Saccharomyces cerevisiae S288C: one gene and its partners. The protein of the gene in region 2 binds, or shares a complex with, the protein of the main gene of each other region. Each region holds a gene or a part of one and is shown on either strand. Other genes may lie near its edges. A codon is read from its position in the direction of its gene.

Region 1 (3,024 bases), on a different chromosome or scaffold from region 2:
TTAGTGTTGATAGAACGGCAAACAATATCACCCTCACATGGATGTAGAAAAGCTCCCATTTCTAGAACAGTGTCTGGTGGTCCTTGTTGAAATGATCTAGCACTGCCTGTACGTCCACCACGAAAGCCGCCACGGAAGCCGCCACGGCCACCTCTATTACCTCCTCTGAAACTCATTATTTTCTTTTGGTTAAAAATTATCCTCAGGTGATCTTTTGGTAGAAGAGAGCAATCAGATACTCTATCGAAAAGGTGCTCACGTTATAAGGCTAACAAATTAATTTTTTCTTCCTTTCCTCATCTCGAAAAATTTTTCACTACAAAAAATTCCGACGTCAAAGTTTGAAAAAAAGACCATCTGATCACGTGACACCTTTTTCCTGCTCATAAGTTTTAAAAACCGTATGACACATATGCTAATGAAATTAAAATATATAGTATATACCTGAATATGCAGGAATCATATCTTAGTTTGATTCACAAGTATTTGAAAGTACATTCAAAAATGTCAATCGTATATGTCCTTGCTAGCTGATGTCTCGAAATTACTTCTCCTTTTCGAAAAGCACATTGTCAGAATAGCAATCACCGTTTCTGGCTTATGGAATATTATTAGTGTAAATGAGGTCATTCAGTCTCAAAAAGGTATTTTTGTTCAGTTACGTTTTCTTTTCAGTTTGTTTTTTTCCATCTCAATTTTACATTCGGGACAGTACCATGTTCCTTTCGGAGGTTCTTTTAAATTTACACAATCATAATGAAACCATTCATATTTACAGTTGGGTCCATCACATGCAACCATTTCTCCAAACGAAACTCTTTGACAGAAGCAGTATAAAGTTTTGTCCTCTTCCTCGTTTTCAGGGGAACCGTTTTGGCCTTTACCATTTCTACTGTTTTTGAATTCTTTTGTTCTTGCAATCTTCTTTTCAATGCTTGGGCTCACTGGAGTAACAGACTTTTCTCTTGAAGAAACGTCAATTTCATTTTGCAGTTTAGATGTTCGACTAGTTTTTTTCTTTTTCAAAGTGGGTGGAACGGATCCTGAGCTTGATGCAGCTCTTCTCTTTTTCACGCTACTGTTACTCACAACTGAACTTTCTCTAGAGGCTTCAGCAGCGCTATCCATGTCTCCATCTTCTTCCACGGGGGCTAGAACACCATCTTCCTCCAATAAAGCGATGTTTTTTTCCAACTTATTCAAGTGTCTAGCAATTAGAAACAAGGCAGTGTTCGCCAGAACGCATTTTTCTCTTTGCAAAGACTGACATTTCAAAAGTGATTCTTTTATTTCTTTGTCAAGCCCATCTTCCTGTGGATGTTTCGGTATTGAGCCTTGCTGTCTTATAAATTTGTGTATTTGTGATTCTTTTTGCTCGTATTTCTTTTTTTCTTCGATGAGCTTCAAATCATTTGAACCGATCTCCTCTAAGAGGTAACGAAATTCTGATGGGAGGTTGGACACATCTTGTATCGTTTGCTCTAAAACTAAACTTGGATCCATCTTCTATTGGTTATGTTGTCCAATATAAACTTGCATATCCTTCTTCTTTGTTTCTATTTCAACTAACGGTAGGTGGGTTATTCAAGAATCAATTAAAGGAAAATCGGAAAATATCACGTTGTACGTAACAATAAACTTTCTTCTATTTACATGTTTATAAATTGGTTAAACTTAATCTAAATTAATCTAGCATTTGCTAGCTTATTCATATAATTACATTCTATCAACCGGGACTAGTCCCAAAAGCGACATTGCATTGTGTAACACTTGTCTACTTGCTGAATATACGGCGAGTCGCGGTATGGCAATATCTGCAGGTTTTCCGGAAACCCATATTTTTTTATAGCACGAGGAGACCTGATGGCAAACTTTGAATAAATATGTTACAATCGTGGCCGGCTCTTGAGTTTCGAATGCTCGTCTAAGGACATCTGGATACTGCGCTAGCAACCTCACAAGCTCAACTAGTTGTGGTTCATTTAAATTTGAAAAATCTGCGTGTATTAGCATGTCCGTCGTAAAGTCGCTGGAGGTCCTTTCTAAAGATCTAAGTCTGGAATGTGTGTATTGTAAATAGGGCCCTGTGTCACCTTCGAAAGACAACATTCTGTTCCAGTTGAATTCATAGTTATTGATACGCTTTGATTTCATATCTTGAATAATGATAGCAGATACGCCAATTAAATCTGCAACACGCTGTGGATTATCTACCTGAGATATTTTCATTTTGTTATTTTCCATAATTTGCAGAGCTTTATCCCTTGCCTCGTCTAGTATGGTATCTAAGAATACCACATTTCCTTTTCTGGTCGACATGCCCTGCACCATACCAAAATTTATATGCTGCAAGTCTTTTGCCCATTCAAAATTCATTTTTTTTAATATCATAAAAAACTGGGACATGTATAAATCTTGCTGTGAGGAAATCACGTACACCATTTTATCAAAATGTAGATTCTTTTTACGCTCTATGGCTGCCCCTACATCTCTTGTCAAGTACAAAGTTGTTCCGTCTGATTTTTGTACAACAACTCTGCCCAATCTTTTCGACCATTGGGTTAAATCGATGACAAGGGCACCGTCTATTTCTTTAACAAGATTGTTTTTGCGAAATATATCTAAGGCTTCATTCATAGATTCTTTAGACACTTGTGATTCACCGGAGAATATATCAAAATTAATGTTCAAACGTGAATAAGTTTGGATATAGTGGTGGATGGATAACGAGCGAAACCTATTCCATATCTTAATGGCATTCTCATCCCCATTTTCTAAGTTTTTGAAAAAACTACGGGCCTCACCGCTAATCCCACACTTAGAGTTTCCGTTTATCTCTTCCTTGGCAAGGTCCATGTTGATTTTAACGTAGACGTCGAATAAATGCTGAATTGGCTGCTTTTGTAACGTCTTTTCATCGCCGTATCTCTTAAAACCGACTGCTAACAAACCAAACTGTCTGCCCCAGTCTCCTAGGTAGTTCATACGTGTAACGGACCACCCCATTGCTTCATATAAGTTTGA
Region 2 (4,764 bases):
AAGATTTTTGTATGATGGTAAGCCTAAGATATAGGCCAATGCTTTAAAGTAGAGGGAGTATTTCGAGTGTGAATTTACTATCAGATGGAACTGCAAGGAATGTGTTGAGACTCATTTTTACTTTTTCTTGTTATGACTTGGTTGGTATATTTAGACCTTTTTCAAAATTCGCGCCATACAGGAAAAAAAAATGGATAATAAGAAGAAATGCATTTATTTGAGGGTACCTAGTGAGTTATGCAATTGTCTATATAAGAGTATGAATCTAACTTAAATACATCAAGCATTTGGGATGAAATCATGCGAAAAATCAAAAGGTCACAACCGTGTGAAATGGAAATTAAAAAAAACGTTAAAAATATGTAGTCTTGTGAAGGTGATAATATTACAGCCGGATGATACTTGCTATTTTTCTTTTGAAATTTATTGTAGTTATCTTTTTTTGTTTTTTGTTTTTTTTCATTATTATTGCGTTATCGGTGTTCATTTCGGTGATTTGAATCTTCAGTAATGTTGCCTCGACTTTCGTAGTAAACTTTGAATGTCAGGTTTGTTAAATGCCAATGCGTAGAAAGATGTTCGAGAGGTACAAAGTTGTGCTGCTCATGATGAATTTTTCTGGGTTATAGAAGAGTTCTGTTTCGCTTCTGAATTGATTAACGAATCATTTAATTTTTTTAGGGAGTTCGAAGAATTTGAATTATTGTTCTGTGATTTCTGCTTTTGTTGTTGTGCTTGCTGCTGTTGCTGCTGCTGCTGTTGTTGTTGCTGTTGTAAATGTTGTATATGCTTTTGTTTCAGTCTGGTGATATAGTCCCTACGATACTTTATGGTGGCTTCCCTTAATTGTTCGTAGGACTTCGTACCCAACATTGTTCCGAATCTAATCACCTGAGTATCATTTGAAATCTGGTTAAGTCTTGCCGGTTCATCTGAAAACTTGATCCCATATTCATTTTGTGGAGAATCATACTTCCACTTGTCGTAAAGTCTGACAAATTCGTCGTATTTGGAATCGTAAACATTAATCGAGTCAGTATCGTTACTACCTTCTCTTGAATATTGTTCTTTTTCGATTGAATCGAAATCTACAAAATCCATTAAAGAACATGCAGACTTGGTCGACGATGTTGTAAAATTTGGCATACGATCAACATACTTAATATTAGATCTACCAACTCTCTTCCTGAATTTTATTGGATACTCTCTCGAATGAATTTCCAAATTTTCTTGGAATGGGTCGTACAGTTCAGTTTTTTTGATTCTTTTGGTATCCAAGTTGTAATTATCTTTGTTTCTCGAACGGCCATTTGAATCATATATTCTGATGTCATCAGATATCCCCTTCAAGTATTCTGGTAAATGTGAAGAATAAAAAGATCTATCTATCTGAAACTTGGATGACGCGATAGATGCAAAGGGAACATTACTAGTCGAAAAATTTTTAGGCAACGACATGTCAAATACAGGATTAAAGGGATCGTCCGTTAAGTTGAAAAAGACATCTGCGTCTTCAATTTTCCGTTTCTCCATCTTTTCCTGAACGAACTTTCTTGCATTTTTTTCTTTGCTGTTCAATAGAGCATCCACGTCTTCCAATACAATGTCAGGAATTTTGGAAGATGGTAGTTTGACATAAACATGAGACGTAATTGGCTGTGATGTTGAAGAAGAGGATGCATTCGCGAGTTGCTTTCCGTTTTCAGTCTTAAGGGCATTTTGCTGTTGTTGTTGTTGTTGCTGTAACAGTTGCTGCTGTTGCTGCTTGGTGAGCCTAGAAGATTTGTCTTCAAGTTGGTTATTCCTTTTATTGTTCTTTGCCTTCGCTGCCGCTGCTGCAGCAGCTGCTCTCTTAAGTTCAGCTTTCCTTAGTTCAGCTTCCCTTTGTTCGACCGTAACAATCGTGGGGCGTTTTCTCTTGTGGTTAATCAAGTCATCGTCTTCTCCACTAATGTTCAAAGATCTTTTCAAATTCTTAATTTTTACCCTTTGATCGAATATTTTTAATTCATCATTAATCCAATTTAGGGAAACGTTCTCACGTTTAGCAACAAGCAGGGCCAAGTCCTTCGCGTTTTTCAATTCTTGATGCAACGCCCTTAAACGCTGACTGTTTAAGATATCTATACGTCTTGTTTTCCGCGGATGTCTCACTTCTCTTCTTCTGAAACAGACGTAGGGATCAATCTCTTCTTTTTCACCCGGCCTTTCAAATTTCAGCTGCGGAAAAATTTCGTACCCGTTAACTTCAATTTTTCTTTCTCTCCAATAATCATAAATTTTAGAGCCGAACTTCTCTATCAGCTGAATTAAAGGTCTCGTATTCATTTGAGATACGGGGTCGAATTGTGTGATAAAATGTGTTTTATGAGAATTTATTTCATGATTCAGCTGGTTTCTTAGATTGAAATCAGCCATATCTGATTTTATTAATGTGGGCTTCAATTCTTCAAAAGAAAGTATACTTTCCGGATCCATACTCAAGAATGGTTGACGCTCGTGAATAGCATGTTCAAAACTGGAACAAAGTATTTCAAATTCGTCTTCAGTTAAAATGTCTGATGAACCTTTGTTGACTTGTTCATTTAAAAAGGTCTCATCTCTTTCATCCATATTGTAGTTGGTACCACAGCAATCCTCCACAGTGGCAGAAAATTTGATGTAGCTGGTGGTCTCCTGGAAACTGCCCGTATAAAACTTATCATATTCATTCCAAGTCATAGAAGCATCCGGGGTCGGAATATAGTCTTTGTGCTTTGTATGACCAGAACCCATTTGTAATATTCGATGCAAATGGACCTCCTTTTCTTCATTTTTTTCTACACCAGTTTCGATCTCAACCACCTCTCTCTGTTGCAATTCATCTTTATCCAGGTGTTTCAGATCGTTAGGCAGATATATCTTAAGATGTTGCTTCACAGATATTTTTCGATGTCTAAATCGACTATTACTGCTACCAGCACTGGCTCCAGCACCTGAATCGCCTTTTGAGAATGAATCTAGACCGTCATCGTGCGCACTCCTAGATCCAGACCGCCTAGTGCTTCTACCAGATTTATGCGAACCGTCATTGATCTCTATAGCGTTTGAAGGTGTCGGCATCGTTATTATCGTTATTTGCTAATGTTATTACAATGTTTTTATAAGCACGTGACTATAATGTTACCCTATCGTGTGCAATTTTTATTTATGTTGACCTGAAGTCCGCAGTTGCCGTACAATGTGAGAATATGGACAAAAGGAAGGCGAGGGTGGCAAAAAGAGGAGTCAAAAATAGATAGCGTTTATTTTATTATAGCAGCTCAGAGGAACGCGATGTGGTGTAATAATATTGCGAGTGTCTAATGACCACCAGAATACGAGCACAGTTTTGGCTGATTTTTGCAAACTTTTTTGCTTTTGTGTAGTAACCTCTCACAGGTATTGCTTGTATGCTATACCATGTGATATGTAATAGTACAATTTTGTGGTCGGATCGTGCTTTTGCCACCCGCGGCCGACGGAGAAAATTTTTTTCCTCTATCCCTTTGTTTCTCGCTTACTCCTGCGGTATGGGGTGCTAACTATGGTGAGCGAGTATGGGAAGAAGTAGCGATATACGGGTAACCCTAATGTTTGGGTGTTTTGAAATTTATCCTTGGAGGATAGGCGATGAGCTGCTCTTAAAGGTTTTAACAGAGAGTGTTGTATGAATATTCTGTAGAATTTTATAGTAAACAGGTATCCTCAGACTGTAATAGCCATGGATTTGTTAGCGGCCAGCGTAGAAAGTACGTTGAAAAATCTGCAAGATAAGAGAAACTTTCTTTCGGAACAAAGAGAGCACTATATAGATATCAGAAGCCGACTGGTTAGATTTATCAATGACAATGATGATGGCGAAGAAGAAGGCGAAGGCCAAGGGATGGTGTTTGGTGATATCATAATTTCTACGAGTAAGATATATCTAAGTCTAGGCTATGAGTATTACGTTGAAAAGACCAAAGAGGAGGCCATCACGTTTGTTGATGATAAATTAAAACTAATGGAGGACGCCATTGAGCAATTTAACCTGAAGATCGAAGAGGCTAAAAAGACCTTAGACAACTTGAATCACATGGAGGACGGAAATGGAATTGAAGAAGACGAAGCGAACAACGACGAAGATTTTCTGCCCTCTATGGAGATTAGAGAAGAACTAGATGACGAGGGAAATGTCATAAGTAGTTCCGTTACCCCTACAACAAAGCAACCATCACAATCGAATTCCAAAAAAGAACAGACACCTGCAGTCGGTCCAAAGGAGAAAGGATTAGCAAAGGAGAAGAAATCAAAGTCATTCGAAGAAAACTTGAAAGGAAAGTTATTGAAAAGGAACGATGAAGTAAAGAAAAAAGTGCAGCCATCTAAAGTAGATACAGAAAACGTGTATACATTTGCCGACTTGGTCCAACAGATGGACCAACAAGATGAATTGGAGGACGGCTATATTGAAACTGATGAAATAAATTATGATTATGATGCGTTCGAAAACTCCAATTTCAAAGTCAATGATAACTATGAAGAGGATGACGAGGACGAAGATGAAGAAGAGTATCTAAATCATTCTATTATACCTGGCTTTGAAGCGCAGTCCTCATTTTTACAACAAATTCAACGCCTACGCGCACAAAAGCAATCCCAAGATCATGAGAGGGAAGAAGGTGACGTTAATAAATCATTAAAACCTATTTTGAAAAAGTCTTCTTTTGCTGAGAATTCAGACAAAAAGCAGAAAAAGAAACA
Region 3 (2,594 bases), on a different chromosome or scaffold from region 2:
TAAAACGGAGGATCCAATAATTCTATGAAACAATGAAGATTTGAATGAACGAAATTTAATCAGGTTTGACCAAAAATTCAGCCATTTATAGGAAAGGGATAAATGGTTCAAATTGTGAATGGAAACTAGGCAATCCTTTTTGATACAAATTGGAATATCTGGTTGAACAGTGATAGATGCAATTTTACCATTTTCGTCTACTAGCCTGAAACGGGAAGTCGCAATATCCTTGCTTAAGTTCTCGATATATGTCCTTTCTTTAGTTACGACATTACTCTCCGTCTTGGCCGCTTGTGGGCTCAAAAGAGAAATTGATCTCTGCCAAACTCGAGTATTCACCCTTGGGCTTATCATGATGGGTGGATATCCTTTTCTGTGCTTCTGTTTTGTTTATCTGTATCCGTTTATTCGCCAGCCAATAAAATGACTGGGAGCACGGGACCTTTGAAATTTTGCCCTTGTTAGTAAATCGTTATAAAAATACTTATATAGATATTTTATAGAAAATGAAAAATAAAAGAAATAGCCAATATGTAGGTATATCGAACTTAAAGGTCACCTGTCGAAATCATTTCCTTCTTCTCTCTTTTTCTTTTCAATCAGATGTTTTAGAGCGGTCAAGCAACGTAAATACCAACGTGTGCTATCGCATTAGTCGTTTTGTGATTGGCCATGCTGCTGCTTCACGTACGTAGCACTACTTAATGAAAAAATACGATCATTGTTATTGAATGCAGAATCTGCATGGCTGTGGTGTGACTTGGAGAAGGTATCAAACCCTTTTATGATGTTACCAGAATAGTGTGATTTTGACCCATGGGCTCCCCCATGACCTGAATGGTTGTTATTACTATTGTGTGAGAAATACTCGGTCTCTTTATCATATATCTCTTGTTGTAAGTTGTCAAAGGTATCTTCTTGCTCTCTTCTATCTTGGAGGGACTTTTTTAGTTCCGCTTTCAATGCTTCATAACTTTTCAGCTCATCAGTCATTTTCTTCTAGGCGTAGGTTGGTAACAAACGGAAAGATGATGGAAAATGGCTGTTCTCTAAAGATGTTTATCTTACGTATATTCTTTGCTTTCGTTGTGGCTTTACACACCTTTAATCATTAATTTAATGGCATAGTCGGCAAGTTGTTGAAGGACCTGGGTTAATCGCCTACATGTGAGGTTTTTTTAAAAATATCAATTACATTTAAAAAAGGAAAGCAGTAGTACCAAAAATCGGGCAAAAAAAATTTACCTAAATAAAGGAATGCATAAATGAAGCCGTTTAATCTTTGTATTTAATGAGAATATTACATATGAAGGTCTCTTGAGAAAGCATCAATAGTGGACATTAGCTACCTTTTAAATAAATGAACGGGTATGTCACCCATGGGTTCAAACTCTTCATCATCCTCGTCTTCACTGCGTACTTCATCGTATTCGTAACCCAAATTTTCTTTTATGTAATAGTGATCTTTCTTACTTTTCCTCTTTTCCAAAAGGTCATCGAATTCGTCCTCTTCCATATTCATTTGATTGAATTTGTTAAGTATTCTTTGTAAGAATGGTGTGTTCTCCCCAGCAGTTGCCGTGGTATTAGCATTCTTCATAGTATTCCTTGGGGGTAGCAAGGGAGGACCCGATGTTGGAGTTGATTCTGAACTACGGCTTGGAGCAATATTTTGCATACGTTGTGACCGATTAGGCGGAGGGTTCGGTTTACGATTGGGTAGAGTGTTATTTATGTTGCTATTAACATTATTATTGGGCTTACTAAAAAAATCGTTTATACTCTTTTTTCCCTTGAGCATATTTGGTGAATTATTTACGTCCACAAATGTCTGTTGAATTCTTTTGGTAAAAGTAGAGAGGTATTCACTTGGGTTCTGGTTACCTAATTTCTGTTGTCCATTTCGGGGCAGTGTATCTTTGAACTGTAACTCTAATTGTTTTAATTCTTTTTGGGCGACCTCTAATTTGAAACTAAGTTCATTGATTTCTCTGTGTTTTGCAGCTAATTTATATATTAAATCTTGGTCTGTTGAAATCGGACTTGCGTGGTCGCTCACGGGTGACTGATTTGTCGTAGATCTTTGCGGACTTGATATAGGTATAGCAAGTCTTTTGGGCTTTAAAGGTGTCGTAACCCTTGGTGATTTTGATTCAGGCTGCACTTCATGTTGTTTTTGATGCGGCTGTTGCTGCTGTCCTTGGGAGTGTTTATCGACAATCGACAGCTTATGTAATTCAATTGGTTGACTAATTACACGCTGGTCTTCTGACATTACTTTAGGGCGTATGTATGGATGTATTTTGTATTGCTTTTGGCTAGTTAGTAGTATTCCTCAATCGTATTGTTTTTGATTTTGAAAAAGCTAACGATAAAGGTCAGGAAAAAAAAAGAAAATTGTATGTAAAGGAATGTCTGGAGAGAGTTACACAGGAACAGAAAGGTCCAGCAACGGTTTCTACAACCAATCATGGATGTTGATATAGGATGTTATTTTGAAGAGAAACGCTATGACGACAAACTGTTAGACTTCATCAGATATGACGTTAAAACACCTAAAAAGACTAAATATATACTACAAAGGCCTACGGCGA

The links.
Region 1: the proteins of EPL1 (region 2) and YNG2 are in contact, whole or in part, in a crystal structure (PDB 5J9Q), measured with the Saccharomyces cerevisiae proteins. Residues at the interface, in NP_116629.1 of Saccharomyces cerevisiae: Thr144 (codon at 2,673), Thr145 (codon at 2,670), Ser146 (codon at 2,667), Tyr147 (codon at 2,664), Ile148 (codon at 2,661), Lys149 (codon at 2,658), Phe150 (codon at 2,655), Ser151 (codon at 2,652), Ala152 (codon at 2,649), Asp156 (codon at 2,637), Asp231 (codon at 2,412), Leu234 (codon at 2,403), Gln237 (codon at 2,394), Leu238 (codon at 2,391), Ile242 (codon at 2,379), Phe249 (codon at 2,358), Ile250 (codon at 2,355), Thr251 (codon at 2,352), Gln252 (codon at 2,349), Phe253 (codon at 2,346), Arg318 (codon at 2,151), Arg321 (codon at 2,142), Ile326 (codon at 2,127), Asp327 (codon at 2,124), Ile328 (codon at 2,121), Asn330 (codon at 2,115), Ser331 (codon at 2,112), Arg333 (codon at 2,106), Leu334 (codon at 2,103), Arg335 (codon at 2,100); in NP_011958.1 of Saccharomyces cerevisiae: Asp2 (codon at 1,500), Pro3 (codon at 1,497), Ser4 (codon at 1,494), Leu5 (codon at 1,491), Val6 (codon at 1,488), Leu7 (codon at 1,485), Glu8 (codon at 1,482), Thr10 (codon at 1,476), Ile11 (codon at 1,473), Val14 (codon at 1,464), Asn16 (codon at 1,458), Ser19 (codon at 1,449), Glu20 (codon at 1,446), Phe21 (codon at 1,443), Tyr23 (codon at 1,437), Leu24 (codon at 1,434), Leu25 (codon at 1,431), Glu26 (codon at 1,428), Glu27 (codon at 1,425), Ile28 (codon at 1,422), Lys39 (codon at 1,389), Tyr42 (codon at 1,380), Glu46 (codon at 1,368), His50 (codon at 1,356), Ile53 (codon at 1,347), Arg54 (codon at 1,344), Gly57 (codon at 1,335), Ser58 (codon at 1,332), Ile59 (codon at 1,329), Pro60 (codon at 1,326).
Region 3: the proteins of EPL1 (region 2) and EAF6 are in contact, whole or in part, in a crystal structure (PDB 5J9U), measured with the Saccharomyces cerevisiae proteins. Residues at the interface, in NP_116629.1 of Saccharomyces cerevisiae: Arg333 (codon at 2,106), Ala336 (codon at 2,097), Leu337 (codon at 2,094), Glu340 (codon at 2,085), Leu341 (codon at 2,082), Asn343 (codon at 2,076), Ala344 (codon at 2,073), Asp346 (codon at 2,067), Leu347 (codon at 2,064), Ala348 (codon at 2,061), Leu350 (codon at 2,055), Val351 (codon at 2,052), Lys353 (codon at 2,046), Arg354 (codon at 2,043), Val357 (codon at 2,034), Ser358 (codon at 2,031), Asn360 (codon at 2,025), Trp361 (codon at 2,022), Asp364 (codon at 2,013), Glu365 (codon at 2,010), Lys367 (codon at 2,004), Ile368 (codon at 2,001), Gln371 (codon at 1,992), Arg372 (codon at 1,989), Lys374 (codon at 1,983), Ile375 (codon at 1,980), Leu378 (codon at 1,971), Lys379 (codon at 1,968), Ser381 (codon at 1,962), Leu382 (codon at 1,959); in NP_012615.3 of Saccharomyces cerevisiae: Glu4 (codon at 984), Leu5 (codon at 981), Ser7 (codon at 975), Tyr8 (codon at 972), Leu11 (codon at 963), Lys12 (codon at 960), Glu14 (codon at 954), Leu15 (codon at 951), Lys16 (codon at 948), Ser18 (codon at 942), Leu19 (codon at 939), Asp21 (codon at 933), Arg22 (codon at 930), Arg23 (codon at 927), Gln25 (codon at 921), Glu26 (codon at 918), Thr28 (codon at 912), Phe29 (codon at 909), Asp30 (codon at 906), Leu32 (codon at 900), Gln33 (codon at 897), Glu35 (codon at 891), Ile36 (codon at 888), Lys39 (codon at 879), Glu40 (codon at 876), Tyr43 (codon at 867), Phe44 (codon at 864), Tyr65 (codon at 801), Gly67 (codon at 795), Asn68 (codon at 792).

The regions. Positions count from the first base shown.
Region 1 is NC_001140.6:283,123-286,146, forward strand, and holds YNG2 (histone acetyltransferase YNG2), read right to left. Parts: upstream 1,504-3,024; coding exon 655-1,503; downstream 1-654. Other genes in the region: H/ACA snoRNP pseudouridylase subunit GAR1, read right to left, coding at 1-176; arginine--tRNA ligase MSR1, read right to left, coding at 1,717-3,024. UniProt on the Saccharomyces cerevisiae protein: Component of the NuA4 histone acetyltransferase complex which is involved in transcriptional activation of selected genes principally by acetylation of nucleosomal histone H4 and H2A. The NuA4 complex is also involved in DNA repair.
Region 2 is NC_001138.5:87,244-92,007, forward strand, and holds EPL1 (Epl1p), read right to left. Parts: upstream 3,103-4,764; coding exon 604-3,102; downstream 1-603. Other genes in the region: BUD27 (prefoldin-like protein), read left to right, coding at 3,743-4,764.
Region 3 is NC_001142.9:581,263-583,856, forward strand, and holds EAF6 (Eaf6p), read right to left. Parts: upstream 994-2,594; coding exon 652-993; downstream 1-651. Other genes in the region: AIM24 (Aim24p), read right to left, coding at 1-354; ACF4 (Acf4p), read right to left, coding at 1,346-2,275; YJR084W (uncharacterized protein), read left to right, coding at 2,471-2,594. UniProt on the Saccharomyces cerevisiae protein: Component of the NuA4 histone acetyltransferase complex which is involved in transcriptional activation of selected genes principally by acetylation of nucleosomal histone H4 and H2A. The NuA4 complex is also involved in DNA repair.